Ovis aries: one gene and its partners. The protein of the gene in region 1 interacts with the protein of each later gene in a pairwise test. Links are inferred from orthologs where the notes say so. Each region holds a gene or a part of one and is shown on either strand. Other genes may lie near its edges. The genes, in order: CDC5L, PDE4DIP, GSE1, KALRN, KANSL1, WWC1 and ZNF451.

What was found.
Region 2: the proteins of CDC5L (region 1) and PDE4DIP interact in a two-hybrid assay, tested with the Homo sapiens proteins (2 studies listed by BioGRID and IntAct). The link is inferred for Ovis aries from reciprocal best matches to the Homo sapiens genes CDC5L and PDE4DIP.
Region 3: the proteins of CDC5L (region 1) and GSE1 interact in a two-hybrid assay, tested with the Homo sapiens proteins (2 studies listed by BioGRID and IntAct). The link is inferred for Ovis aries from reciprocal best matches to the Homo sapiens genes CDC5L and GSE1.
Region 4: the proteins of CDC5L (region 1) and KALRN interact in a two-hybrid assay, tested with the Homo sapiens proteins (2 studies listed by BioGRID and IntAct). The link is inferred for Ovis aries from reciprocal best matches to the Homo sapiens genes CDC5L and KALRN.
Region 5: the proteins of CDC5L (region 1) and KANSL1 interact in binary tests that used the Homo sapiens proteins (3 or more experiments, as listed by UniProt). The link is inferred for Ovis aries from reciprocal best matches to the Homo sapiens genes CDC5L and KANSL1.
Region 6: the proteins of CDC5L (region 1) and WWC1 interact in a two-hybrid assay, tested with the Homo sapiens proteins (2 studies listed by BioGRID and IntAct). The link is inferred for Ovis aries from reciprocal best matches to the Homo sapiens genes CDC5L and WWC1.
Region 7: the proteins of CDC5L (region 1) and ZNF451 interact in a two-hybrid assay, tested with the Homo sapiens proteins (2 studies listed by BioGRID and IntAct). The link is inferred for Ovis aries from reciprocal best matches to the Homo sapiens genes CDC5L and ZNF451.

The regions. Positions count from the first base shown.
Region 1 is NC_056073.1:17,846,706-17,850,953, forward strand, and holds the start of CDC5L (cell division cycle 5-like protein), read left to right. Parts: upstream 1-1,448; 5' UTR 1,449-1,562; coding exon 1,563-1,607; intron 1,608-3,929; coding exon 3,930-4,033; intron 4,034-4,248.
Region 2 is NC_056054.1:97,805,843-97,809,342, forward strand, and holds part of PDE4DIP (myomegalin), read left to right. Parts: coding exon 1-266; intron 267-1,396; coding exon 1,397-1,589; intron 1,590-2,697; coding exon 2,698-2,817; intron 2,818-3,500. UniProt on the Homo sapiens protein: Functions as an anchor sequestering components of the cAMP-dependent pathway to Golgi and/or centrosomes.
Region 3 is NC_056067.1:11,187,734-11,190,668, forward strand, and holds part of GSE1 (genetic suppressor element 1), read left to right. Parts: intron 1-970; coding exon 971-1,074; intron 1,075-1,597; coding exon 1,598-1,732; 3' UTR 1,733-2,935.
Region 4 is NC_056054.1:189,285,798-189,289,900, forward strand, and holds the start of KALRN (kalirin), read left to right. Parts: upstream 1-1,303; 5' UTR 1,304-1,635; coding exon 1,636-1,708; intron 1,709-4,103. UniProt on the Homo sapiens protein: Promotes the exchange of GDP by GTP. Activates specific Rho GTPase family members, thereby inducing various signaling mechanisms that regulate neuronal shape, growth, and plasticity, through their effects on the actin cytoskeleton.
Region 5 is NC_056064.1:45,751,585-45,755,084, reverse strand, and holds part of KANSL1 (KAT8 regulatory NSL complex subunit 1), read left to right. Parts: intron 1-3,106; coding exon 3,107-3,228; intron 3,229-3,500. UniProt on the Homo sapiens protein: Non-catalytic component of the NSL histone acetyltransferase complex, a multiprotein complex that mediates histone H4 acetylation at 'Lys-5'- and 'Lys-8' (H4K5ac and H4K8ac) at transcription start sites and promotes transcription initiation.
Region 6 is NC_056058.1:78,035,658-78,039,157, forward strand, and holds part of WWC1 (protein KIBRA), read left to right. Parts: intron 1-2,205; coding exon 2,206-2,314; intron 2,315-2,653; coding exon 2,654-2,734; intron 2,735-3,384; coding exon 3,385-3,471; intron 3,472-3,500. UniProt on the Homo sapiens protein: Regulator of the Hippo signaling pathway, also known as the Salvador-Warts-Hippo (SWH) pathway.
Region 7 is NC_056073.1:3,223,477-3,226,976, forward strand, and holds part of ZNF451 (E3 SUMO-protein ligase ZNF451), read right to left. Parts: intron 2,465-3,500; coding exon 2,334-2,464; intron 1,480-2,333; coding exon 1,293-1,479; intron 1-1,292. UniProt on the Homo sapiens protein: E3 SUMO-protein ligase; has a preference for SUMO2 and SUMO3 and facilitates UBE2I/UBC9-mediated sumoylation of target proteins. Plays a role in protein SUMO2 modification in response to stress caused by DNA damage and by proteasome inhibitors (in vitro).

The DNA of each region.
Region 1 (4,248 bases):
TTCGTCCCTTCCAGGACTAGCTCCAAAGAGATGTTTTTGAATGGAGAAGGAAACCAAGTGAGTTGGAATCTCAGTTTGGCAATCCCTATCTCAGTGGGTTTTTGGCCTCAACTAATTTGCCCTTCAGGGCCCTTCAGATTTATGAGGTATAAATTGTTAACTTCACTTTCCAAATCAGGATACTGAGATTCAGTATGATTATTACTCAAGCTGATGAGGGAGCCAAGATTTCAACCCCGATCAAGTTTGCTTAATACTAGCACCTATCAACAGTAGCTCTCTGCTATTAATATTAAGCCATGTAGACTGAAGTGCAATAAATGGAAAACTCTGACATGACTGTTTCTGGGACAATCTCTGATCACTTGAGCTTGCGCTTCTCGTAGTAACAGTTGCCATTTTTGTGAGCACTTCTTAGGTATCAGATACTACGATGGATTTACGATCTCATTTAACCCTTGTTAGTTGCTCAGTCCGGAGAAGGCAATGGTACCCCACTCCAGTACTCTTGCCTGGAAAATCCCATGGATGGAGGAGCGTGGTGGGCTGCAGTCCATGGGGTCGCTAAGAGTCGTACACCACTGAGCGACTTCATTTTCACTTTTCACCTTCATGCACTGGAGAAGGAAATGGCAACTCACTCCAGTATTCTTGCCTGGAGAATCCCAGTGACGGGGGAGCCTGGCGGGCTGCCGTCTATGGGGTCGCACAGAGTCGGACACGACTGAAGCGACTTAGCAGTAGCAGCAGCAATTGCTCAGTCGTCTGCCACTCTGAGACCCCATGGACTATACCCCGCCAGGCTCCTCTGTCTACGGAATTCTCCAGGCAAGAATACTGGAGTGGGTGGCCATTTCCTTCTCCAGAGGATCTTTTCCATTCAGAGATCGAAGCCGGGTTTCCCGAATTGCAGGCAGATTCTTTTACCACCTGAGCCTCCAGGGAAACCCCTATTCAATCCTTAGGAAAACCCTATGAAGTTGGCACTATTATTGTCTCTATTTTGCAGGTTAGGAAATTTAGGCTTAAATAAGCTATTGCCTCTCCCTGAATATTTTTTGAATAAATTCTTGTTCGTTAAATGCTTAATAAAGTGCTAAGTTAATAAATTATCAACGCTATTTTTAGACCAGCCGAGGTTAAACCCTACAGGAGTGACGTTCCTATTCTTTGCCACAACGTGACGTCACGACCAATCCCAGGACTACATTCCCAGCCAAGAGCCTCCGCCGACATCTCGCGAAAGCCGCGGTTTCTTCCAACCTATTTTGGGCATGCGCGCGGCTTCGAGTACCTTGGCTAGAGTGGTTTGATGATTTTCCGTCAGTCTCCCTAGAGTAGAGTTTTACCATCGAGGCACTTATTTCCTTCCAGTCACTCCAGTTCTCGCGAGACTTGCTACTCCTGCTCTTTCCCCACCCCGCCCCCGCGCTTGCGCAGAGCTCTTCAAAGCAGAAGGTCGCGCTTGGAGGAAGTGGCGGCTTTGGGTCCCGTGGCCGCCGCGCCGTTACTACTTCTCGGAAGCTCCGCTCGGCCGCTTGCCGAGACACCCCGCCGCCAAGATGCCTCGAATTATGATTAAGGGGGGCGTGTGGAGGAATACCGAGGTAAGTCCCCTTTTCCCGCCGTCTGCCCTCCGCCCCTCCGGCTGCGGGTGCGCACGCGCGCAGAGGTCCGGGAGGTGGAGAGGATGCCTTCGGGGTCTGCGTGGGGGGTGGTGCGGGGCCTTTACCCTGTGCCTGGACCTCAGTTATCTGAGCATCTCAAGGACAGGGACCGTGATTTAACCGCTTGATTACCTGCGGGGCACTCGTTAGGCCCTCAGTGAACATTTGTTGAGCTGACGCGTCCTCCGCCGTGGTGGAACTCACAGTAGGAGGGGGACACAGGACAATTGCGATAGTCGGTCTTCTAAGCCCCGCCCCCCGCACCCCACCGTTCCTCATCCCAGGCTCCGCGACTCTTTGCTGTTGAAAAATGAAGAGGTGCTGTGGCCACAACTTTGTTCTTTCCTTGAGTTCCTTGCTGAGGGGAAGCAGTTTGAGTGCCAGGTCCTAAGTACCTGGTTGTGTCCGCGTCCCCGCGGTCATGTTACCACGGCGTAACTTGTCCGCCCTCCGGTCACCCAAGGCCTGTCTCTTCCGCTTCATGTTGGGTAGAAGCCAGATAGGCCTACCATAGTCTCTTTGCTTCCAGAAATGTAGTGGATCGTGCCATTGGTGAACCAAAGAACAGTAGAAGAGTAAAATAGAAACAAGGTTTTAGTGCAGTTTCTGTTTATAGTGCCCTGAACTTGTCAGTTTCCCCAGAACACTCTGTCTTTTTACATCTTGCACCTTCTTGAAATATCCTCCTACTGCTTGGCATCTTTCTGACCTTCCTTCAAAAACAGTTCAGAAACTCTTCTGAAATTGGTCCAGAAGACCCATCCATTTGCCTGGTCATCCGGTAAAAAGTATTTGCACCTGCAATGGTCCCTGGACACCTCTTCTCATCCATTTGTTATGGTTTGCTTTTTTTTTTTTTTTGCAAGCATCACATCCTGTTTGATGCTGGGATTATTAACCTCTCAGAGACTCAGGTTTCTAATGGGGATGATAATAATATACTTATCTCTCGGAATTAAATGAGTCACTGCATTTGGAATATTTAGAACAGAGTCTGGCACATAGTAATCTTTCAGAAAGTACTACCTGCTGTTTCTTTTCCCCAGTAGACAGCACTGCAAGTGCGCAGGATCAGATCTTGCTATCTTTAGAACTCCGGACAGTGCCAAACAAAGTTTGCTTGGGAAATTTTGCTGAATGGATCTAGTAGGGTGTATAACTGTAGTATATACTTAGTTGAAGATGTGATTAAGTATAGCAGTACTGCAACAAAGTTACAAATTAAGTCAGTGAGAACCTTGCCTCTCAGCTTGCACAGAGGGGACCAGGCTGTTTCAGTTGGAGAAGAGATGACTTCTGAGGGAGAGACAGATGTACCAAATCAAGTAACAGCAGGATTCTGATGCTGTGGCCAAAGCCCTGCAGTCCTTGAGTCTCAGATGTTAGGGGTGTGGAGTGGCGAGGAGTGGCTAACATATGAGGCATATAGCTCAAGTTCATTGTGGGGAAAAAACCCTAAAAGTAAAATGCCCTGAGTGCATTCATCTATGGCTCTGATATCCCTGGTGTCTTTGGTTTAGCCTGACAGGCTCCCTTGGGATTGGTGAATTCTTTATTGGAATGGGTGCCCTGGTGAAATAGTATCTAGAGACTGGGGGGAAATTAGAGGCAGAGTTGATTGGTGACTTAGGGGAGACGTACTCAATTCTTAGGTTAGACCTGAGATATGGATTCTTAGGTGAGAGTGGGGGCTGTGGGACTGGAGAGAAAATGCTGTTCATAAACTGGGAAGCCTCAATTGGAAATTGGATTCACTTGAGTCTTGACTTTTTGAGGGCTGGATGTGTCCTGTTTTATCTTGTTTTCTCAAGTATTGATATACAAGACCTGATACAAGGCTGGTGTTTGGGCAGTATTTTTTGTGAATCAGTAAATCAATGAGCCATAATCTTTTTAAGAGACTAACAACCACACATTGGAGAATTCTTTTTAAAATCTCTGTCAAGTGGGGTTTCTCACATTGGGCTGTACCCACTCAATTTTTGGATGGGATTGGGGGAGGGGTTGTGTGTAAGGGAGGGTAGGATATCCTTCTAAGGGAGTTCTTAATTTCTTTCATTTTGTTGATTCTGGGTTGCTGTTTTTTTTTAAATTTTTATTATTGTAATGAAGTTTTATACTTTTGTTTTAAATTTAGGATATACGTGCGTGTTTATATCTCTTTCTCCCTAGTACAACCCAGTTAGAGTTAATTTAAATCTTGTCTTTTCTCACTTGGAGTTTTGTGAATGAATACATTGTTTTTCCTTTGAAAAAATTTAGGATGAAATTCTGAAAGCAGCGGTGATGAAATATGGGAAAAACCAGTGGTCTAGGATTGCCTCACTGCTGCATAGAAAGTCAGCAAAGCAGTGCAAAGCCAGATGGTATGTATCAGCTAATGAGTGGAAAACACAAAATGACCTTCATTATGATGAGGAAAATGTCATTTCTTTGAACCTTACCAAAGAAAAGCAGGCACTGTGATGTAACAGAAAGTAGGGAGTGGGAGTTGGGAATTTCAGTGTGAGAATTAGCTGTCTTTTGCTTCGTAAGTGGTCTTAGGCAAGCCATTTTCTGTCCCCTCTCTCCTGCCATTGTT
Region 2 (3,500 bases), on another chromosome or scaffold:
GAAAGGTCCAGGGAAAACTGAAGAATGCCCGTAATATCATCAGCCTCCTCAAAGAACAGCTGGTGCTGAGCAGCAAGGAAGGGACTAGTAAGCTTAATCCTGAGCTCCTTGTGCACCTGGCCCAGGAGATCAACAGAATGAACACAGAGCTGGCTCACTCTCCTGGAAAGCGCCAATGCCTAGAAGGGGAGGGTGTGACCACAAGGCCGTGCCCCAGACCCCGGAGCCTTGACCTTGGGGCTGCCCTCACAGTGGATGCTCACCAAGTAAGTGTGGGGTTAGATGAAAAGCCCTTGGATAAAGGCTGGCAATGTCCGTTTTTACCTTAAACTGTTCTGCCCCGTGGGTCAGGAGGTACCATAGGAAGGGCACCTTTGCACCACAAGTAGTGGTAATAATGTTCCTCTAACATCCAGCCTTTAGAAAGGTTTCTTCTACAATATTATCTCATGAATATTACATGAGTAATTAACTTTCATAAATATTTGAATGCTTAATTTTCCAGGCAAGACACTAGGCACTGGAAACAGCCAATAAGACTTCATCTCTGCCCTTCAGATATTCAGCATGGTGGGAAAAGATGGCACAAAACCAGATCATTTCCATAGGATGCAATATAGAGCTACACGGGGCTTTAAGGCAGCCAGTCAGTGGTGTGTAATGACATCTCTTACCTATCACTGCTGTGTACTTCACAGCTCAGCACAGGGGTCTGCTCCTGAGCCTCAGAGGAACTGTCAGGATTCTCTAAGGGGAGGGGGCTGAGCTGCTACTGCTGCTGCTGCTAAGTCGCTTCAGTTGTGTCCAACTCTTTGCGACCCCAGAGACGGCAGCCCACCAGGCTCCCCCGTCCCTGGGATCCTCCAGGCAAGAACACTAGACTGGGTTGCCATTTCCTTCTCCAGTGCATGAAAGTGAAAAGTGAAAGTGAAGTCGGCTCAGTCCTGTCCTACTCTTCATGACCCCATGGACTGCAGCCTACCAGGCTCCTCTGCCCATGGGATTTTCCCGGCAGGAGTACTGGAGTGGGGTGCCATTGCCTGCTGGGGATTAAGTAAAATGGATAGAAGAGGACCGAGAGAACAACTGGGTAGGAATGCAGGGAGAGATGAGTGGAGGTTTCCACCCCTTCTCTTTTCAACCACGAACAAACATTTGCTGAGGGTTCCTCACAGACTCAGGTGGCACTGTGCTGTGTGCTGTAGCAACAGAGATAAATAAAACATCACCCCAGCTCTCCAGGTGCTCAGTCTGGAAAGCAAGTAGCTGCCAAGTGGAATGAGGAGTGTTACGACAGACACACGGATGAAGTACACAGAGTTCGCAAGGCGAAGTGGCTGCCACTGCCTGGGGAGGAGCTCAGATGGCCCTGACTCTGTGCTGGCTCTTTTCACAGCTGGATAACCAGCCCCAGACCCATGACCCTGGGCCACAGTCAGAATTTCGCCTCTCGGGATCCACGAAGCACCTGCGCTCCCAGTTGGCACAATGCAAACAACGCTATCAGGATCTCCAGGAGAAGCTGCTGATATCAGAAGCCACTGTCTTTGCCCAGGCCAACCAGCTGGAGAAATACAGAGTCATGTTTAGTAAGTCTTAAGTTCACCACCACCTGTCTTCTCCCTGAGAAGCTCATGCTTTGCAGACTTCACTCTTCTTTCCCAGTCTCATGGCCAATTTAATCCTGACTATGACCTTAGCATTGTGGAAGTGGATTGTTGTTGTTACCTAGTCGCTAAATCGTGTCCAACTCTTTTACAACCCCATGGATTGTAGCCTGCCAGGCTTTTCTGTGCTTGGGATTTCCCAGGCAAGGATACTGGAGTGTGTTGCCATTTCCTTCTCCAGGGGATCTCCCTGACCCAGGGCTCGAATCCACATCTCCTTTGGCAGGTGGATTCTTCACTGAGCCACCAGGGAAGCCCATGGAAGTGGATACTCAACTTCAATCTGCAGATGGCAGAAACAAATGAATGAATAAAGCAAGTTTGCAGTGACAGCATAGGGAGGGAATGAGCTAACGTCTAGCTTCACTGATTTCTGGTACAGTCAACAGACCGCCTTACCGCTCTCAACATATGTTGATTGTTTCTCTTCTGCTCCTCTTTGCACCACAGTAGACTCTTCAAAAATGTACCATTGTTGTTGGTCTAGAATCAGTGCTTTCTCGTAGAACTTCTGCAGTGACATAAATGTTCTGTATCTACGTCACATGTGGTTATGGAGAACATGAAATGTAGCTAATTCAATTTGGGGATTTAAAGTTTTATTTAATTTTTATCAGTTTAACATAAAACAGTCACGTTTATAACACTTACAGAACAGTGCAGATCTTGGTGTCTTTGAAACTGAGTTAGTTCTGCTCCATTCAAACATTTCCTGAGCCCCCATGAACAAAGCATTTGCTAATTTCCCTGGGGCGTGTAGAGTTGATAGTATGCAGTGTCTGACTTAAACATGTCTGGTCCCAGGGAAGCCCAGGTTATCTGTAGGTAAGCTCACCAATGGGGAACAAGCTCACCTGGTTGAGAGAGGTCCTGCTGCCTGGAGCAGGTGTTTCTTCTCCCACCTCAGTCCAAAGAAGCATCTATCCCACTCTGGGTCTGACCTCCCCAAGGGCCAGGGTGCGTGCTGCTGAGGATGAGAGTGTATGTGGGAAATTTAGATCCTCTGTAGCACGCCCTGTCTGTTCCCAAGCAGGTGGATCATCAGTGAAGCAGGACAGCAAGCAGGTGCAGGTGGACCTCCAGGACCTGGGCTATGAGACCTGTGGCCGAAGTGAGAACGAGGCTGAGCGGGAGGAGAGCACCAGCCCTGGTGAGAGCTTGGGTGTGGGGCTGGCCCTCCCCCACTAAGGGCAGCCTTCACATTTGGGTACTGCTGGCCAATCCCACATCTGATGAGGAGCAGGGCTGAGGGGTGCAGTAGGCTGAAGGGGACACAGGACAGAGGGGGACAGAAAGTTTGGAGAACTCATGCCCAAAATGAGGCTGAGTGTGAGTTTGAATTTCTACAATTAGTTTTCAACATGCTACCTGTTTAAAAAACAATTTCAGTGTGAACTTTAAAAAAAAAGTTCTATCCAACTGATTATTTTAGAAAAAATACTGTGTGTGTGATAGTTGCTCAGTTGTATCTGACTCTGTGACCTCATGGACTGCAGCCTGCCAGGCTCCTCTGTCCATGGAATTCTCCAGGCAAGAATACTGGAGCGGGTTGCCATTCCCTTCTCAAGAGGATCTTCCCAACCCAGGGATCAAACCCAGTCTCCTGCATTGCAGGCAGATTCTTTACCATCTGAACCACCAGAAAAAAAAAAAAAAACTAAACTAAAGTCTATTTATTAATGAGAAGATCAAATGAGCTTTGAGTGAGTCAGTGAAAGTTGCTCAGTCATGTTCAACTCTTTGAGACCCCATGGACTATACAGTCCATGGAATTTTCTAGGCCAGAATACTAGAAAGGGTAGCCTTTTCCTTCTCCAGGGGATCTTCCCAACC
Region 3 (2,935 bases), on another chromosome or scaffold:
GTGATGTTGAGCATCTCTTCAGCCATCTGTATGTCTTCTTTGGAAAAATATCTATCTAGATGTTCACCCAGATGGTGAAGTGGTGGTCCAGTGGTTAAGAATCCACTTTCCAGTGAGGAAAGTGTGGGTTCAATCCCTAGTCAGGGAACCCAAGATTAAGAAAAATAAGCGGGGGGGATCTGCACCCATTTTTTGATTAGGTTGGTTTTTAAAAATATTGAGCTACATGAGCTGTTTGTATATCTTGGAGATTAAATTCCTTATTGGTTGCATCTTTTATAAATACTTTCTCCTATACTATGGGTTGTCTTCTTGTTTTATGGTTTCCTTTGCCATGCAAAAGCCTTTAATTCGGTCCCACCGTTTGTTTTTGTTTTCAGTATTTTAGGAGGTGGATCAAAAAAGAGCTTGTTGCAATTTATGTCAAAGATTCTTCTGCCTCTGTTTTTCTCTAAGGGCTTTTTATAATAACCAGCCTTACATTTAGGTCTTTATCCATTTTGAATGTGCCTTTGTGTGTGGCGTTAGTGCTCTGTTTCATTCTTTTATATACAGTTGTCTAGTTTCCTCAGCACCACTTATTGAAGAGACTGTTAAAACAGATTTATTCCTGAAGATGTGAAGCTCAGTATCTTTCGGAAAGGCAGAGGTTTTACTTGTTAAAATGATAAATTTCTAACAGTTTTTGTGTCTAAGCCTTTTATCTTTCTTGAAAAATGCATCTTAAGGCTGTAAGTTGTTGCTGTTTCCTAAGCTGCGTCCCTTAAATTGCCTTTCAATGCTGTGTCCTCGGTCTTTATTCCCCTGGGTCGGGTTACTTTAGTAACATCTAGTCACCAGCACGATCTATAGGGAGGGAGCCATGTGGTCCAAATGATAGAGCTTTGACCAGCTGCTCTGGAGAGAAGAGGCCACGCGCCGGGCCTGGGGCCCTGGGTACAGAAGACGTCACCCTGGCTTGTCTTTTCAGAGCAAGATCTGGAGCGGCAGGTGCTGCAGGCGCAGTGCAGGCGGCTGGAGGCGCAGCATTACAGTCTCAGCCTCACGGCCGAGCAGCTCTCCCACAGCATGGCGGTGAGTCTCAGGGATCGTACTGGCTCCGTGGGGGCTTTCTTGACCCCACAGTGGTTATTCTCATTCAGCCTTTCGAGTCTGGGTTCAGGAGCACCCATACAGACAAGTTTTGAAGGGAAGTTGTGCTCTTGAGAGGGGCTAAATTCAGCAGTCACCTGAGGAGGGAGTGTCATCTGTTCGCAGAACATGGGTCTGGAAGGGTCGGGGGCGGGTGTACTGCCCGTATCAGCCTTCCCCCGTGCCGCGCTCAGGAGGATGGAGGGAGGGGGCCGAGCTCTTGGGACAGGACGGACCCCACACACACACACAGCCGTGACAGCGAGAGCCCTGCCATCTTCCGCTGTTGTGTGTTTGGGGCTTGGACACCTTGGCCACTCCCGACGCAGCAGAAGCTTGGCAGTGCCAGGGCCGACGCTGCGAGAGTGGCAGGTGCTGCCACTGGGAGATGCTGGGGGCAGCTAGAGCGCATCCCACAGCCTTCCTAACTGTGTGAACTGCGGGTCTGACACCAGTCTCCCTCCAGGAGCTGAGGAGCCAGAAGCAGAAGATCGTTTCAGAACGGGAGCGGCTCCAGGCGGAACTGGACCACTTACGGAAGTGCCTTGCGTTGCCTGCAATGCATTGGCCTAGAGGCTACTTCAAGGGTTTCCCGAGGTGACGGTTTCCCTTGCACTAGGCCGAACCTATAGTATAGAAATATTATCTATTTTATTACCTTGAATATTTAATATTTTTCACTGGGAGGTTTGACGCTTAAAAAAAAAAAAAAAAAAAAGAGAGAATGTGCCATGCATGAAGCAAAGGATTCCAGGCTCCAGAAAAAAAGAACGAACTCGCCTTGACTTCAGTGCAGTTGGATCACCTTTGTAACTCAGCAAGCAACCCGTTTAAGACGCCCATAGTTTCTTCCCTTTTAAAGGCGGTTTTTCCCTTCCCCACGTCGTCATGCTTTAGTCTCAAGATGAAGGCTCCATTACCAACACTAAGCTGTGCCCATCTCCCAGCCCCTGGGTGCATGAGGCGGAGCGGGCCACCGGTGTGCGTGTCGTGTGCTGCCAGGCCCTGTGGCCTCAGGAACCCGGGCTGCTCTGGCCGTGGGGTGGCCGGTCTCGCTCCTCCCCAGGATGGAGACCCGCTCCAGCAGAAGGAAGGTGGGGTGCATTCTAAGTAAAGGGCTTATTTGTTTCAGTTATTTTTCTGCAAAGTTTTCCTGAAAGCAACAGGTCCTAGGAGCACACAAAGCAACAGTACTGAAGCCTCACCCAAAGGCTTTTCCCCAGAAAAGCTCTTACCTAAAGTGAATCGACAGACTGAAGGTACCTTGTTATTCCTTCGTGGGGGAAAATGTCCAGAGCTCTATGTACATTTATCCACACCCACCCGATTGTTACTGCAGGGGGGGCGGGGGTGTTTTCATACAAATGTCAATTTTGAGAGAAAAGTCAAAGGTGCTTCAGCCTTGTACTGTGTATATATATTAAAAAACAAAGTTTTGTATGTTTTTATTACTTTAATTATTGTTATAAAAAGCCTGCCATTTTTAATATGTGGTTTGGGGGGATTTTTTGTTGTTTGTTTTCTTGTTTGGGGGTTTTTTGTTTTGTTTTTCTGGGCAAAAAAAAAAAAAAACAACCCTTGCTTTTAGTGTTTGTACTGCTGCTGGTCAGGACATTATTGAAGTGTTTTTAAAAATTAAAGAAGAAGAAAAGTAAAAAGAGCTTACCACTGGCGCCTACGCGAGCACTTCATTCTTGAGTTGCACCGGAGTGAGGTAGAAAGCCATGGTTCCTCCTTCCCTCTCCCCCGGGCCCTCCCCGGCTCCCCAGGCCAGCGAGGCGCTGCTGGTCTCCAGCAGGAACCA
Region 4 (4,103 bases), on another chromosome or scaffold:
GCAACAACAGCCTCCAACACACCACATTAAGTACTCAGGTCTAAAGAGCCTCTGTTTTGTAAGCTTTGCAGTCACTAGGACTATAAACAGAATACTGGCTAATTATTGTTTAATTATTGCTTAAAAACCAATTGGCACAATACAATCACTGCATTAATTACCCCATACAGCATCTGTTTTCTTTTTTGAGGTCTTCCCCATTCCTCTCCTGTCCCTCTCCCCACTTTAATTGAAATTCAGCTTGCTGTAACACCTCCTTTCTCCTGGCCAACTGGATCTCTCCATTCACACGAGGCAGAAGAACAAAACAGAGAAGGCCTCGGGGATTAGGGAGTTTGACAGCTGTCCAAGAGGAGCGTTGAGACACTGGCCAAGTACCGAGGCAGGACAGAGACAAATGGGAGACAGAAGAGGGTCACGGAGGGAAAGATAGGCAGGGGCACATCGCGAGAGAAATGAACTGGACAAAGAGTCACCGAGACAGGCAGAGGTGTTTACAGGGGCGCTGAAAAGAGGGGGGAAGGAAGAGAAAAGCTTTAAAAAAAAAAAACCAAACACCAAAAAACCAGAGGAACTAAGGAGAGTTGGTGAGGAAAATGCGAAAGGCTCAGGAGGTCAAGGAGACAGAAGGGAGCTTGTCGAGAAGGAGCGGGGAAAAGTCCAGCCTCTAGAGACAGATCAGCCCATCTTGGGGGACAGGCAGCTTGAGGGGGGTCGCGGCTCATACACCTGAGAACGGGGTGGGGTGGAGGAGGCGGCCGCCGCCGGGCGGGAGTAGGAACAGCGCTAGCGGCGAGGCTGAGCACGCGGGGCTCAGGCGTCCGAGCCCCCTCGGCAAGCCCGGCGTGCGCCCGGCGGCCCAGGACGCGCCCGGCGGCCCCGCCCCCTCCCCGGCCGCCTCCTTCGCCGGGGCTTTTCCTGCGGGGCTCAGGAAGCCGGCCTAGCACAGCCGCGAACAATAGCTCGGGGCCCGGGCTTGGCTCCTTGGAGAGGCCGGCGCGGGGAGGCGGGGGGAGGGAGGCGTCCGCGCCGCCGGGGGCCCGCGGCGAACCCCGGCCCGGGCCGAAGCTTCAGTTGAGCTCGGCGCTGCCCCGGGCATTGTTGGCCGCGACTGAGGAGCGGGAGCCGGGGGAGGAGCTGCGAGGCGGCGGCGGCTGAGGGAGCCAGAGGGGGAGCCAGAGAGCGAGCGAGGGAGGGAGGCTGAGAGCGTGCGGGCGATAGAGCGAGGGAGGGAGGAGGTAGAGAGACAGGGAGGGTGGGAGGGAGGAGGAAAAATAAAGAGGAGAGCCGAGCAGGGCTGAACAATAGAGACAGGCGGACGGGCGAGAAGGAGAGCCAGCTGCCGCTGCTGAGGGAGAGCGGGCGCCCAAGCAGCTCGGACCCCGGCCCGGGCAGACCGCAGGCGGCCAGCGCCCCCCGGGGAAGGGGGACCATGGGGGAGCCCGCGGCAGGCGCCCCCAGCCCGCCGTGCGCCTCCGCCTGAGGGAGCCTCGGCGTCCTCTGCCCCAGCCCAGCCGCCCCGGCCGGCCGCCCTCGAAGCCCGGTGTCCGCAGCCCAGCGCCCGCCGCCCACAGAGCAGCGCTCGGCCCCGGGCTTGGCCGCCCCCCGGCTGCCCGTGGACGCCCTCCCCCAGTCATGAACCCCCCGGAGGGGGCAGCGGAGGAAGGAGGAGCCGCCGACTCGGACGTGGACGCCTTTTTCCGGACAGGTAAGCTGGGCAGCTGGGGAGCTTGGGGGGGTGGGGCGGGTGGGGGGCTGCTGCCCTGGACGCGGCTTCTCGGACAAGTTTGGGGAACGAGACTGTTGCTGGGGCGGGCGTGTTGGGGGGTGCTGTCCCCCTCGTCGTCCGGGCCGGAGTTGCCGAGATTCTTGTTGTTATGGCAGTGCTGGTTGCGTTTTGGAGAGGGGTGGGGGCTGGGAGCTTGGCGCCCCTCGGCGTTCACCCCACTTGCGGGAGTCTGTGTGGGGAGGCGGGAGGCGGTCCCGGTGGGCCGCCTTCTCCCCGAGCGCGGGGATGGGGCGAGGTTGGATCACTTTGCAGCGCGCCGCTCTCGCTCCCGGCGCCCCCGCCCCTCCCTCGGCTCCCCCTCCCCCTAGCGCCTGTCAGCCTGGCTCTGGCCGCCCCGCGCCCGCACCCCTGCTCCGGGCCACGGGCCCCGGGCCCTGATATGCAAAGAAGGACCGGGAGTCGCGCAGGCTGCAGCCTGACAGTCAGGAGCGGGGCGGACGGTGGACCGCGGAGCCTGATGTGTGTGAGGAGCCGGGCGTCTCAGACTTAAGAGGCGGACTTGGCTGGGAAGGCGGTGGGCGCCTAGGACCTCGTCCTTGTCCTCCTCTTCTTCAGTGATGGGAACGCAGGAGCTTTTGATAAAAATCACTCATTCTGGACGTGTGAGTTAGCGTCCCCCTCATACACACCCACTGAATCTTTGCTTGCCTGTGGTATGTAGAGCTCCCCCGCCAGACCTGCTTTCACGGTTGTTCTTTGCCCCCGCCACCACCCAGTCCTGGGTCTGAGTCGCAGGTTCCTTGCCTGCACAGCCCTTTTCCCAGAGCAGATGCCGACCACTCTCCTCTCCCACCACCTGTGGCCCTGTTTCTCTGATAACCAGGGTTTCTCCATCTCCTCTTTACCTGTGGCTTCCACCAACTCAGTAGGTAGAGCTCCCCATCTTCCATATCTGGAACCATTTTGTCTGGAATCTTTGTCCCAAAGAGTCCAGTAAGTTATGGGGACCCCCTCTTTCTGTAAATTGGGTTAAAGCGCGTGAACTGGTGGGGTCAGGGAACAGGTTAGCTCTGGAGGCTCCCTGCACACCCATCTGTTTCCTAACCTCATTGCCCTGCCCTGGAGGTCATCTGAGGGGAAGGGGTGGGGTGCTTTGTTGGGGAGACTTGTGGCTTTAGAAGTCAAGAGTTGGTCGACCCATATGTTCATTTTCTAGTTGGTCTGAAGAGTAAAGAGGTGGAGGACAGGAGCTGATGCCAGAGCCTGGAGAAAACAGGAGCCCCTGTTATCCTACCCTGCTTCTCAGGGCTCAGCCTTGTCTCCTTGTTCCTTTTAACCAGTCGTGGTTTCTAATATACACTGCCGCCTGGCCCGTCCCCCTCCCCCCACCCTTACACTCACATATGCACTGCCCAGGAACCAAGGCACGAATTCTAAAAACGTGCCTGACCTGAGTTTATAACCTTAGATTATAGTCTAGGAGAGAGGTTCTGGGGGTTAAGGCCTATCTGGAAACATTCACCAGGACGTCTTCCCTGACTCCCCCACCTGGCCCCACTCCTGTCTCTCATCTGGCACAAAAGTCTGCCTTTCCTTAGTTCTGGGGAAAACTCCTGAAGTATGAGCTTTCCGACCTTCCCTTTCTGGACCTACTTTTATCTTTTGGCATCCATTCCTCCTTCCCATTTTCTACCATCCAAACAGTAGTTCCTATCCGTTCTCCTCCCAGGCACTTGGAGCAGATCTCAAGTTTCTGGAGGCTTGCTAATTTCTGACAAATGAATTCACACAGTGTTAATGGTGTTAATGACCTATAATGGTCCAATGTGTTACTTTTCCCAGGGCCTTTCAAAATACAACATGGGGCTTACATTGTCTAGCTCTGGCTAAAATCACAGAGTAAATAACTGACTGGGGACTGTCTCCTGTGGAATCCTGCTGGGGGTATTCTTCTTCCTTCTTGGGCAGCCTTATGGTGGGGGTGGGGGCTAGGTTTGATGTGCTCTTCAAATCAGAGAAGGGTGAAATCTACAACAGATAAGGCTGGAAATGACTGACAATGTGTAACAAGTTGTAAGAGGGGAGGCAGGCTATCTGTGGTAGGGTCTAGGACCACCATCCACCTGAGTGGCCCTCTGTGCTCTGCTTTCTGATCTTACTCCCTTCCAATCTCTAGCCTGGGGATTCTTAAACCTGTAAAAGACCATATTTCTTAACTGTCTCCTTTCTGATCCCCCAATCTTTATGGAATATAGTGCTCTACACCTGGTAGGTTGGACAGATTATAAATTTATTTAGTCGAACCACTGAGAAAGCTTCAAACACATTTTCAAAGTCCCTGGGGCCAGGGTTACCCCCTGCTTTCTGGTGGAAA
Region 5 (3,500 bases), on another chromosome or scaffold:
TCTCTGGCTCCTGATCAGCTTTTGTAGTACCTACCACTCTCCACCCCGAAAGCAGTTTGCACGACCATCCCACACACACAGTCACATTAATACTTTAATGTTTTCATTCCTCAGAATGTGCCTCCTTGAACACATATACCTGCAAGCTGCTTTGTACCCACCAAAAGGGTCTTTTATTTAGTAATCATCCTGATAATAATGGAGGTGATAATAATAGAACGCTGCTGCTGTAAATGTTTGCTGTGTCTGTGCTAGGTACATGGTGTGTTACCGCGTTCAACCTGTAACACCCGTTAAGGTGCAGGTGGTGTAGAAGATTCCCATTTTGTTGGCAGGAAAACTGAGGCTTTCCAAGGCTAAGTGAATAGCATAAGGTGAGGAGACCTGTCAGGGTTACAGTTCGGATTCCAACCCAGCGGTCTGGCCACAGAGTCAGCTGTTTTGGGTCATGCAGCACAGAGTGAGCCTGGATTGGGGCACAGCGAAGGTGACTTAGGCAGGGGCTCTGATGCCCCTTCAGAGCTTACATGAAGAAACTTCAAAGCCAACAGAATGTGCTCACTAGGCTCTGCGATCAGGTGGGAATTCATGTCGTTCTGTCTTTGCTCTTAAAAATCAGTCTTTCCCAGATGACCTTGTTCCTCCCCCCTTCATCCCCTCCCACACCCACAGGTTTTGTCTCCATAGCAGTGTAGTCTCTGCGGTAAGCCCAGGTATCCTTTAGCAGGGATCTCAGAAAAACAAAGGATTTTACAGAGACTAATTGTGATGGAAGTCTTTTCTCAGATCCAAGACTTGGTGAAACTTAAGTGATTTTTCACATGCCGCTTTCTCATGCCTGGAAAATGTAAACTTAGGCCTGAATCACTTGAAATTTTTACTTACTATCTAATGAGCATCAATTTTGTACATACCACTGTGCTGACCCTTGAGCTCTTGTTGCCAGTTTTTTTCGAAGAATCTGGATTTATTTAATAGCAGGAAGAGTGATAGGCCAGATAGTTAAGGTGAGGAGCTACAGGACCCTGGAGAGGAGTAGGGGGGAGGGGGATGGGCTGTGTGCTCATGCTTGCTGCAGAAGCTGCATGAGCCGACGGGTGCAGCAGAATCACCTCTGTGGTCTTTTTTTCTTCTTCTTGGACTCCCTGGATATTCTGATTTGATAGTTAGAAGAGATGGGGCCCTGAACCTATTTTTTCTCTTTTAAACATCATCTTGCACCTCACCGTCTGGCAGCCAGGTTTGGAAACCACTTCTCATTCTCATCACCTACCCTCCACCTCTGGTCCTAAACAGGAGAGAACATAGGTTAGACCGAGTCAGTGTCTCCTGGAATTGGGCCATCTGCATGTGGGGTGGGGGTTGGGGCTGTTGAACCCCACAGCCCACTCCTGTCTCCCTGCCTTGAAGTTGCTGACAGCAGGCCCAAGGAGATTCAGGGAAAATACATACCTGCTGCTGCCAGCAGTTCCACACTTGTTCTTGACCACAGTCCAGGGAAAGCTGTCTATTGAGGGTCCTTTGGGTTCTGTACACTTCCTACAGTGGGGTGTGTGAGTTCAGCAGACATGTGGCAGAGGCCTGTGGTTGTGAATCCACTGAAACTCAGCCAGGCAGGGCTCACAAGTCCCTTCAGCTGTTCTGGTCAGCCAGTTACCCTGAATTCGTGAAGTCAGTGACAGTCCATTCTCATTGATAGCAGAGGAAACCGAGGTGAAAAAGACATTGTGATAACCCGAAATCACAGGTGGCAGCTGCTAAGATCCTGGCCCAGAGAATACTGCCTCTCAGCATTCTCTGAGAAGGTCTTGAAATGATCGGATGGATTGGTCATGGACCCCCTTCCAGGAACAGGAAATGGAGGGAAACAGCCTCTTCCCCCACCCCCCTTCACTGACCCCTTCCCTCTGGGCTGGCCACACTTGTTGTTTGGGTCTGAACACCCCTTACTGACCCCTCCCTCTGGGCTGGCCACTCTGGTGCTTTGGGTCTGAATGCCCCTTACTGACCCCTCCCTCTGGGCTGGCCGCACTGGTGCTTTGGGTCTGGGCTGGCCGTGCTGGTGCTTTGGGTTGAGCGCAGCCTCTGAGGTGCTGGCAGCTGTGTTGTTGCCATGGCAGCACTTTGTCATCCACTGTTTGCCTCTGGCCTCTCACAGCTCAGTTGCCAGTCTCTGTTTCAGGGCAGGGTGTTTGCTATCTGGGCACAGGCAGCCCTCAGACTTGCCCCTCCATCTAAGAAACCGTGCCCCTTGGCTCCCTGCTCAATTCCTCCTCTGGTCTCCCAGCTGCTGTTGAAGGCCCCGCCCCTGCTCCCTAATATTGGATCCTTAACTAAGTGTTCTTTCCCAGGAGTTTGATTTGAACTTCCTGTAGGAGCGAATCTCCTTTCTCCAGGAGTGTGAGCTCTACAGCCAAGGCCTCTTCATCCATTTCCCTCCATTCCTCTCCTTTGATACAGCTAGAACGCTCTCAGCTCTTTCCCTAAGAATAGTAGCCAGAAAGGGGAAATCACATAAGGGTTCAGCAGATGGTGGGCACAGATTTAGCTGGAGAGTTCAGATCTGCGAGAAGGAAGTGCTTTCATGGTAACCAAGGTTAGCAGATCCACTGAGCTCAGCCTCCCATGGGGCATCTTTCAGGATGGAAGAGTTCATCTTTTTAGTCCAGAGAGTTACCTCTAGGCTTAAGCATGCTTTTTCCACCATGGGTCTGTGTCATAGAGAGAAAAGGGGGAAACAGGAGGTTTTGGGGGGTGTTGTTAAAGATGTATGGAGGAGTCTAAACTGTGGCAGTTGTCTCAAGGCGCCAGGATACCCTCTGTGAAACTGAGTAGAGGTCTCCTTTCATGTGAGCACATGAATAAAGAGGGTGGCCAGTGAGACTTGTGAAGGGAAGGTCCTCCTCAGGCCCCACCTGCTATTTCTCCTAAGCTCATTGCTGGTGGGAGACCATCCCCACAGTGCAGGCAGTTGCTGTCATCCCTGCTTGGGTGCTCCCCAGGGACCCAGATGCCTGGTTATTGGTGATCCTGTCTTAAATCTCAGGTTTAGGATTTGATGTATGTAGAATTGTTCCTCCCTTTTAAACTTGCCTTTGTCTTACAGCAGCCAGTAAGGAGGAGAAGGGGAGAGAGCTCCTTCGATATTAACAACATTGTCATCCCAATGTCTGTCGCTGCAACCACCCGTGTAGAGAAGCTCCAGTACAAGGAAATCCTTACCCCCAGGTAGAAGCCCTGCACGACCAGCTCTGCTCTTTGGTCCCCCTGTTACTGCCATTTCCCTGTCCCTTAGTCGCTGAGTTGTGGGGCCTAGCCTTGGCTTTTGTCATTAAGAGAAGGGATCAGAGTGAAATTATTTCTATATATAATTTTCTTCATTATATGTGTGTCAGCCAGACCACAGGCCACAAACTGGCTATAGACATGTTTTGTTTGATGCATACAAATGTGTTTTAAAATACTGAATTTGTTGTCAGCATCAAAGCAAGATTCCACAT
Region 6 (3,500 bases), on another chromosome or scaffold:
TAATGACAGCCAAGGTTTATTAGAAAAATTTTCATCTGTAACAGCAACCACATGATAAATTATAATGGTCAGTATTTATTGGGGTGCATTGATGTGGTGGGAAATGCACTTGATATGGTGAAATAGACTCCTTCTATTATACCTATTTCACAGATGGGGAGACAGAGGCTCAGAGAGGTGCTATTACTTGCCAACATGTGGGGAAGGGGGGACTGGAATCTGGGTTTTTCTGACCCCAGTGCCCAACCTCTTTATCACCACGCTCCCCTTAGGACATGAGGCAGCTCTGTGTATTTATTCCTAAGATACCCCTGACACTCGCTGACCCCATCTCGCATATGGTATGAAAGTCAGGACTGAGCAGGATGATTTACTGAGTTCAGGTGTACAGTACAGGCACTGTTGCACATATTGATTCATGTATACCTCAAAACGACACTATGAGGTGGGTGTTGATTTTATCCTCATCTTACAGACTGAAAGGTGTGAGACTCAGGTTAAGTGACTTGTCTGAGGTCAGTGTCACTGCGGTAAGGCAGGAGAGTCAGGACTGGGCTCAGGACCACCTAGTCAGCAAAGGTCTCCTGCCTCTGACCCCCATGAAGCCAGCCAGAAGCTCAACCCCTCTCAGCTCCAGGAATAGGGGCGGGGGCAGCTGCAGCACCCAGAAATATCAGTTCCTTCGTATACAAGGGCCACTGGGAGCAAGGGAGAAGCAACACGATTTCCTGGTTAATTAAGGGCTCTGCTGGGTGCATGCCAGCCACTTCCTTAGAAGAGCCGGGAGATCCCTGGGGCTCCCTCATCAGGAAGGCAGTCTTGCCGAGTCCTCTCAAACAAAAATAAAAACAGGCTTCCTACTGCAGCAGGTGGAAAGCTTCAGAAAATTGTTCCCTGGAGAGAAGGGGGTGCAGGCAGAACCTCTAATGAGGCTCAAGAAGGGTTCCCAGTGCTCCCTGTCTAAGGGCTGTGATCAGCTGGATCAGGGATGCTGGGACTCCAGTGGGGTGTGGGGAGTGAACCCTCCCCTACCCCTACCCCCACCCTACCCCACCCCCACCCTACAGCGTCAGTGCAGCTTGGGAGCCAGGGACCGCTCACTTCCCAGGCCAGCATTTCTTCATGCCATCTCCAGAAGCCTTGCCAGGCTGAGCTCAGACGCTAAGCAGGTTATGCGATTAGTGCCACTGTTCAGTCAGCAGACAAATTAATCTCCTTAAGTGGTTTCGTGGAGGGTGGAGCGGGGTGGGTCTGAAGGCAGGAGGGCTCCAGGGCTGCAGATGTGGGATGCAGTCTGGGAAAGCCACACCCAGATGGCCCCTTGGCCTCTGCCAAGCTCACGGTCACCATCCCCTAGCCCAGCCAGTGCACCCCTACCCCCACCCATGTGCCTGGCACACAGCAGGTGCTCAGAAGTGCTGGCCCTGAGGTTGGAACCCCTGAATCTGTCCTCCTTGTGCTGCGTGGAGGTCAGGAGCTGTCCTATTCATCTTGGCAGCTCTGAATTTGGCAGTGGCCCTGGCACACTGTCAGCACCGATTACTTGGGGAGGGAAGGAATGTGCAGCGTGTGCTGAGTCTGAGTCCCGGGTCAGAGACTTCAGAGGGCCTCTGTCAAGGGCAGGAGAGATGAGCTGACTTAGGAGTGCGGTGGGATAGGCAAGTAGGAGAGCCAGTGCTTGAGTCCTTCTTCCCCTTCTTGTCCTCCCGCAAGGGCCCAGGCTCTGTGGTATTGTCCCAAGTGTGTAGGAGGTGATCTGGAAGGCATCACTATAGTGATGGGAATGGTAGTCATAGTAACTAAGGATAGCAGTATGGGTTTCTAGGGCACTTCCCCTGCCCCAGTCTCTATACTAAGGATTTGCCTATGTCATCTCCTTGTGTCCTCCCAACAAAGTAGGTGGTGTTATCCCCATTTTACAGATAGGGAATGCAGGGCTTAGAGGGAATAAGTCAGCATCCCAGTGTCACAAAGCAGTGTGTGATTTGAACCCCAGTGGTTTGCCTGTGGAGTCTGAGATGTTAGACACAGACTCCTCTGCCACCTTTTCCTTCACCCCAAAACATGCAGGACCTTGCTGTAAAGGTCAGAGGTAGTAGGATTTTGGTGGGACCATCTTAAAACAACAGGGGATCCACAGTACCTGTTGGGATGACAGTATCCTGATTTCTGAAGCCCGCCTCTTCCCCCCGTCTCTTCCTCCAGCTGTGAATACGGCTCAGGGGTGTGGCCTGAAAGTGGCCTGTGTCTCTGCTGCTGTGTCAGATGAATCCGTGGCCGGGGACAGTGGTGTGTATGAGGCTTCCGTGCAGAGGTGGGTCCCTGAGTCCCGGGCCCCCTCCAGCGTATGGGAGGAACTCACAGGAGGGTGGGGGCCTAGAGATACTTCATGTCTGGGAGACTGCTGATTTCCCCGAGTGCCGTCAAGGGGTGTGTGGCCAGGGAGCAAGTACTGGGGAAAGAGCAGCCCCCTTGAGAGAGGGATCTAAAGTCTTTGTGGGCAGGGTCCACAGGGAGGCTCAGCAGACCCAAACCTTCCTCCTCGAGAATGCTGCTCCCTCCCAGAGAGAACCCTGTCTCTGGAAAATGACTTTGGCCCCAGGTCACTGCAGACCAGCCTGACCCTCTCTGTCTTCCCTGTGTTGCCTTCCAGGCTGGGTGTCTCGGAAGCCGCTGCTTTCGACAGTGATGAATCAGAAGCAGTGGGTGCCACCCGGGTTCAGATCGCCCTGAAGTAAGTGGCAGGGAGGGCGGGGCAGAGGGGTGTGGTCTGCACTGGGTCCCCTCCTCCCCCTTCTGCAGTGTGTCCAGCATTTACCCTCCTCCAGAACCAGCAGGCCCCACTGACAGCTGTGGGCTCCTAACTAAAGGTGGGGGTCTCTTTCTATGCCTCCCAGCTCCCTATTTCACAAAAGAGAAAAAAACAGGGTTTGAAGACTGTACCTTGCTCGGTGTCACTGAGCTGGGCAGGGGCCCAGCCGGGCAGGGACCGAGACCGCCTGCCTCTTGGTGTGTTTGGTCATCATCGTTACTACAGCTTTTTTGTTATCATCTCATCTGGACTGAAGTCAACCCCTCGGGGGCTACAGCCTAGATTTCCTGTTGTTGCTCATCTCTTGATGGGGAATGGTCTTGATTATTTTTAAATAGGATTTCATTGCCTACATTTAGCTCTCAGGAAATTTTACACAACCTCTGGCTTCCCTTTAAAAAATCAGACTGACAGCTCTGGACCTGTGTCCCTGCAAGGTGGCAAACACTGGGTCAGTGATCTCCAGCTCACCACGGTCCCAGAGCCGTCAGCAGCTCCGTCCGTGATGATTAAGGGAGAGAGAAATAAATGTGTTACCAACAGGTGCTCTGTATGCCCCCTTTTCATTTCAGGTATGATGAGAAGAATAAGCAGTTTGCAATATTCATCATCCAGCTGAGCAACCTTTCTGCTTTGTTGCTGCAGCAAGACCAGAAAGTGTGAGTGTGTAGCTGATGGACTGTGTATC
Region 7 (3,500 bases), about 15 Mb from region 1:
GATGTTTTTAAGGATCGGGGAAGGGATGATAAAAGAATGGAAGAAAAAGTGGTTAAAAAAAGTTACCAACACAGGGAATTCTACTCAATACTCAGTAATGCCCTATATGGGAAAAGAATCTAAAAAAGAGGGTTTACAGGTATATGCATAACTGACTCACTTGGCTGTACACCTGAAAACTAACACAACATTATAAATCAACTATATGCCAATAAAAATTTTAATTAAAAATTTTTTTTTAAAGAAAGAAAAGGAAAAAAAAAGCCACAAACAGAAAAAGCAAGTGAATGAAAACAAAAACTACAGAATAGGAAGATAACATTCAGTACTACAATATGACATAAATAAGCAAAATAGAGTCGACTTTCCTTTAAAGAGCACGAGCGTGCCAGCAGCTCAGTGGTTCCTAACTTTGAATTTATCCACTGCAATGAGTGACCAGAGCAAAGTTCTTCAGAACAGATCTTCAATCAAAATGTGGCTCTACATATATGAAATGAAGAAATTAGCAAAGAGGAGGGCATACTTGGGAAATGTAAAGGTAAATAATAAACATTCCAAGAAGTAGTCAGTTTCTCATTGAAGTCATTCATCAATATCTTTAAACTCTTTTCATGGCTGCAACTTATTAGGATATTTAAAAACTATTCTTTTATTCTCTCCTACCCACATTTACTTCAGAAATTAAAAAAACAAAAACAAAACCATCTGGGTCCCTAGAATTATACCCTTTCCTAAATATTGGTTAGTTAAACTGGCCACCAGCATGCCCATTCACTGAACAATCTCAGAAAGGCAGAGAGAGTGCAGGACAGGGGCTCCTAGTCCTTCAAGGTAATAAAAATCACTCAGGGCTTCGTTCTGTCACTGTCAACCTCCTAAATGCCTTTTTTTTTGGGGGGGGGGGGTGGTATTGCCATATTTACTGCTTTCTGGTTTCTTCTATAAGCACTTTGCTTTCTGAAAAACTGAAGATAAATCTAGAATTTCCAAAACAAAATGAAGATCCAGATTCTGAGCTTTACAAGACTCTAATAGCATATTTCAAACCATTAAATACACGAATATAAATTTTATCCTTCAGACGAAAAAGGGCTCCAGAAAATCACGAATTCATCCTCCTTCTAATACACTCAAAATGAAAGCAGATAAGGAATGAAACACAACAAGCATGAGCGCGGGGCAGTTTAGTAAGCAGGCGCAGGGCGAGAGTGGGCAGCAGTTTATTGGCTTCTCTCAGCAGTGAAGTCTCCTCCTTTTGGGCGGTTTGCCCCGAGGCTGCAGCTGCATACCTTTGGTGGTGTCAGATATGCTATTTAACAAGGCACACATCATATCTCCCTCTAAGTGGTGAGGGTTGAGTATATGTGCTGGCCTCTGAGTCTTCTTAAACTGATTCTCTAGCTCCAGAAAACCTTGATCTCCTGAGAGGATGGTGAAAGGAATCTGCTTGGGCAGCTGTTCATCTAGACGGCCAGCCTAAGTTGGAACAAATGACACACGTCAAATCAGCATCTGTGCTTCCAATCAAGTTACAGCTGTTTCAGAATGAACGCCTACCTAGAAAGGTGTATTTCGCATGTCCCCTTGCTCCCACTAAAGTATGATATAAAGATCTCATTCATAAATAAAATATATTAATACCATATTTTAAAAATGTAAAGTGCTGTCAATTTTAAGATAAACTGTTTAATGTGCCACTAAGAGAGAAAGAAAAAAAGAGGAGGCCCCCATATAAAGGTGGAACAGTAGTAACAGGGCTAAAGTAAGCAAAGTCACAGTAAAGCAAGCAAGCTCAACCTTAAAACTGGCTAGATGGAAAAAGAAATTATCTTGTGGTTTAAAATATAAGCAGCAATCAACAAGTCTACAGAGTAAATTCATGTTATCAGTGTGACACAGAAAAGCTTAAGCAGAAAATTTAATTTAAACTGGGTCTCAAGTGGGTCGTTTCTCCAGGCAACTAGCTGAGACAGAAGCAAATGCAGATTTCACCTGGGCCAACAGTGACTGTCACAGGGCCTGCTCATTTCAGAGATGTTAAATGTGGAAGCGCCTCATGCGTCAGAGAGTGACACCGCCTGATCATCTATTCTACACACAGTTACGGTTCTACCATGCACAGCCGAGAGCTGGCTAGACTGGGGATGAAGCAGTAAACACGTGCTACACGTTCCTGCTCCCAACAGTCTTAAGTAGAACTTGATGCAAAAGGTTTTATACCAAAGACACAGCACTAGAAAGGAATCTACAGTGTCATTACGATTTAAGTGGGAAAATTCATCAAAGGGGTCCTAGAGTCACAGAAGATTCTGAATAAAGCAATGACTCACATGCATACATATGGCAAAGTCGGCAGCATCTTTTCTCTTGCTGCAGCGAGGATGCAGGAAGAAGCAGCCGATGCGGTTCAGGTAGTTGTAGACCTTACAGTGGGCCGGGGGCTTCCAGTTGGTGTTTCCCCCTGTCGTGTTTAGAACAATAAACAACACTGTTGTTTACAACAGGCACAAACGAGGAGTCAAACAAAAGAAGCCAGAACAGAAGAACAGATATATCTAAAAACTCTATAAGGAAAAACAAATACTAGGATAAAAATGTTTCTAGAAAAAAAGTACCAGAGTAGAAGGCAGAATAGGCAGTTCCAGCACAGGGTGCTGCTGAAACCTCAGGAAAGTAGACAACTGCTCCAAACCTGACTAGTAAGCAGAAGACTCACAGAGACGTTCAGCAGAACCACAGTAATGTGTGTGAAATTCTTTGGTGTCGTTCTACATGAATGTATGCATTAGTGGATTTTTTACAAGTATGTTAAGGCTGCTCGCTGAATTAAAAGAGTGGTCAATCAGGAAAGCTGGACTCACTAAAAGCCTCATCCAGGTCAGTGGGTTTCTATCTTAAATCCTAATCCTCTTCTTTGTATACGGTTTCCTATCAAACGTGGCAAATGCACCATATTCCACTGTGCTGTGCTTTAGTACTGTTTTCTTTTATTACCAACTGAAGGTCCGTGGCAACTTCGCCTTGACTGAGCTTATCAATGTCGCTGATCCAACAGCATTTGCTAACCTGCGGTCACATTTCGATGATATCCATGGTATTTCACACTTTTCCATCATTATTATATTGTTATGGTGATCACTGATGTTACCACTGTAATCGCTTGGGTGCACCACAAACCATGCCCATACAAGACAGCAAACTTAACTAATAAATGTTCTGTACATTCTGATCGCTCCGCCAACTTGCCCTTTGCTGCCTTTCTGCCCTCCTGGGCACCCTACTCCTTGAGACACAATATTGAAGGCCCATTAATAACCCCACAGTGGCCTCTAAGTGTTCTAGTGAAATGAAGGGTCTCAGTTTCTCAAATTAAACCAAAAGCTGGCAATGATTGAGCTCAGTGAGAAAGGAATACCCAAAGACTAGACAGGCTTAAAGGCAGGCCTGTAGCTAGATGACCATCATATGATGACCATTATATCTACTACCATGGGCAA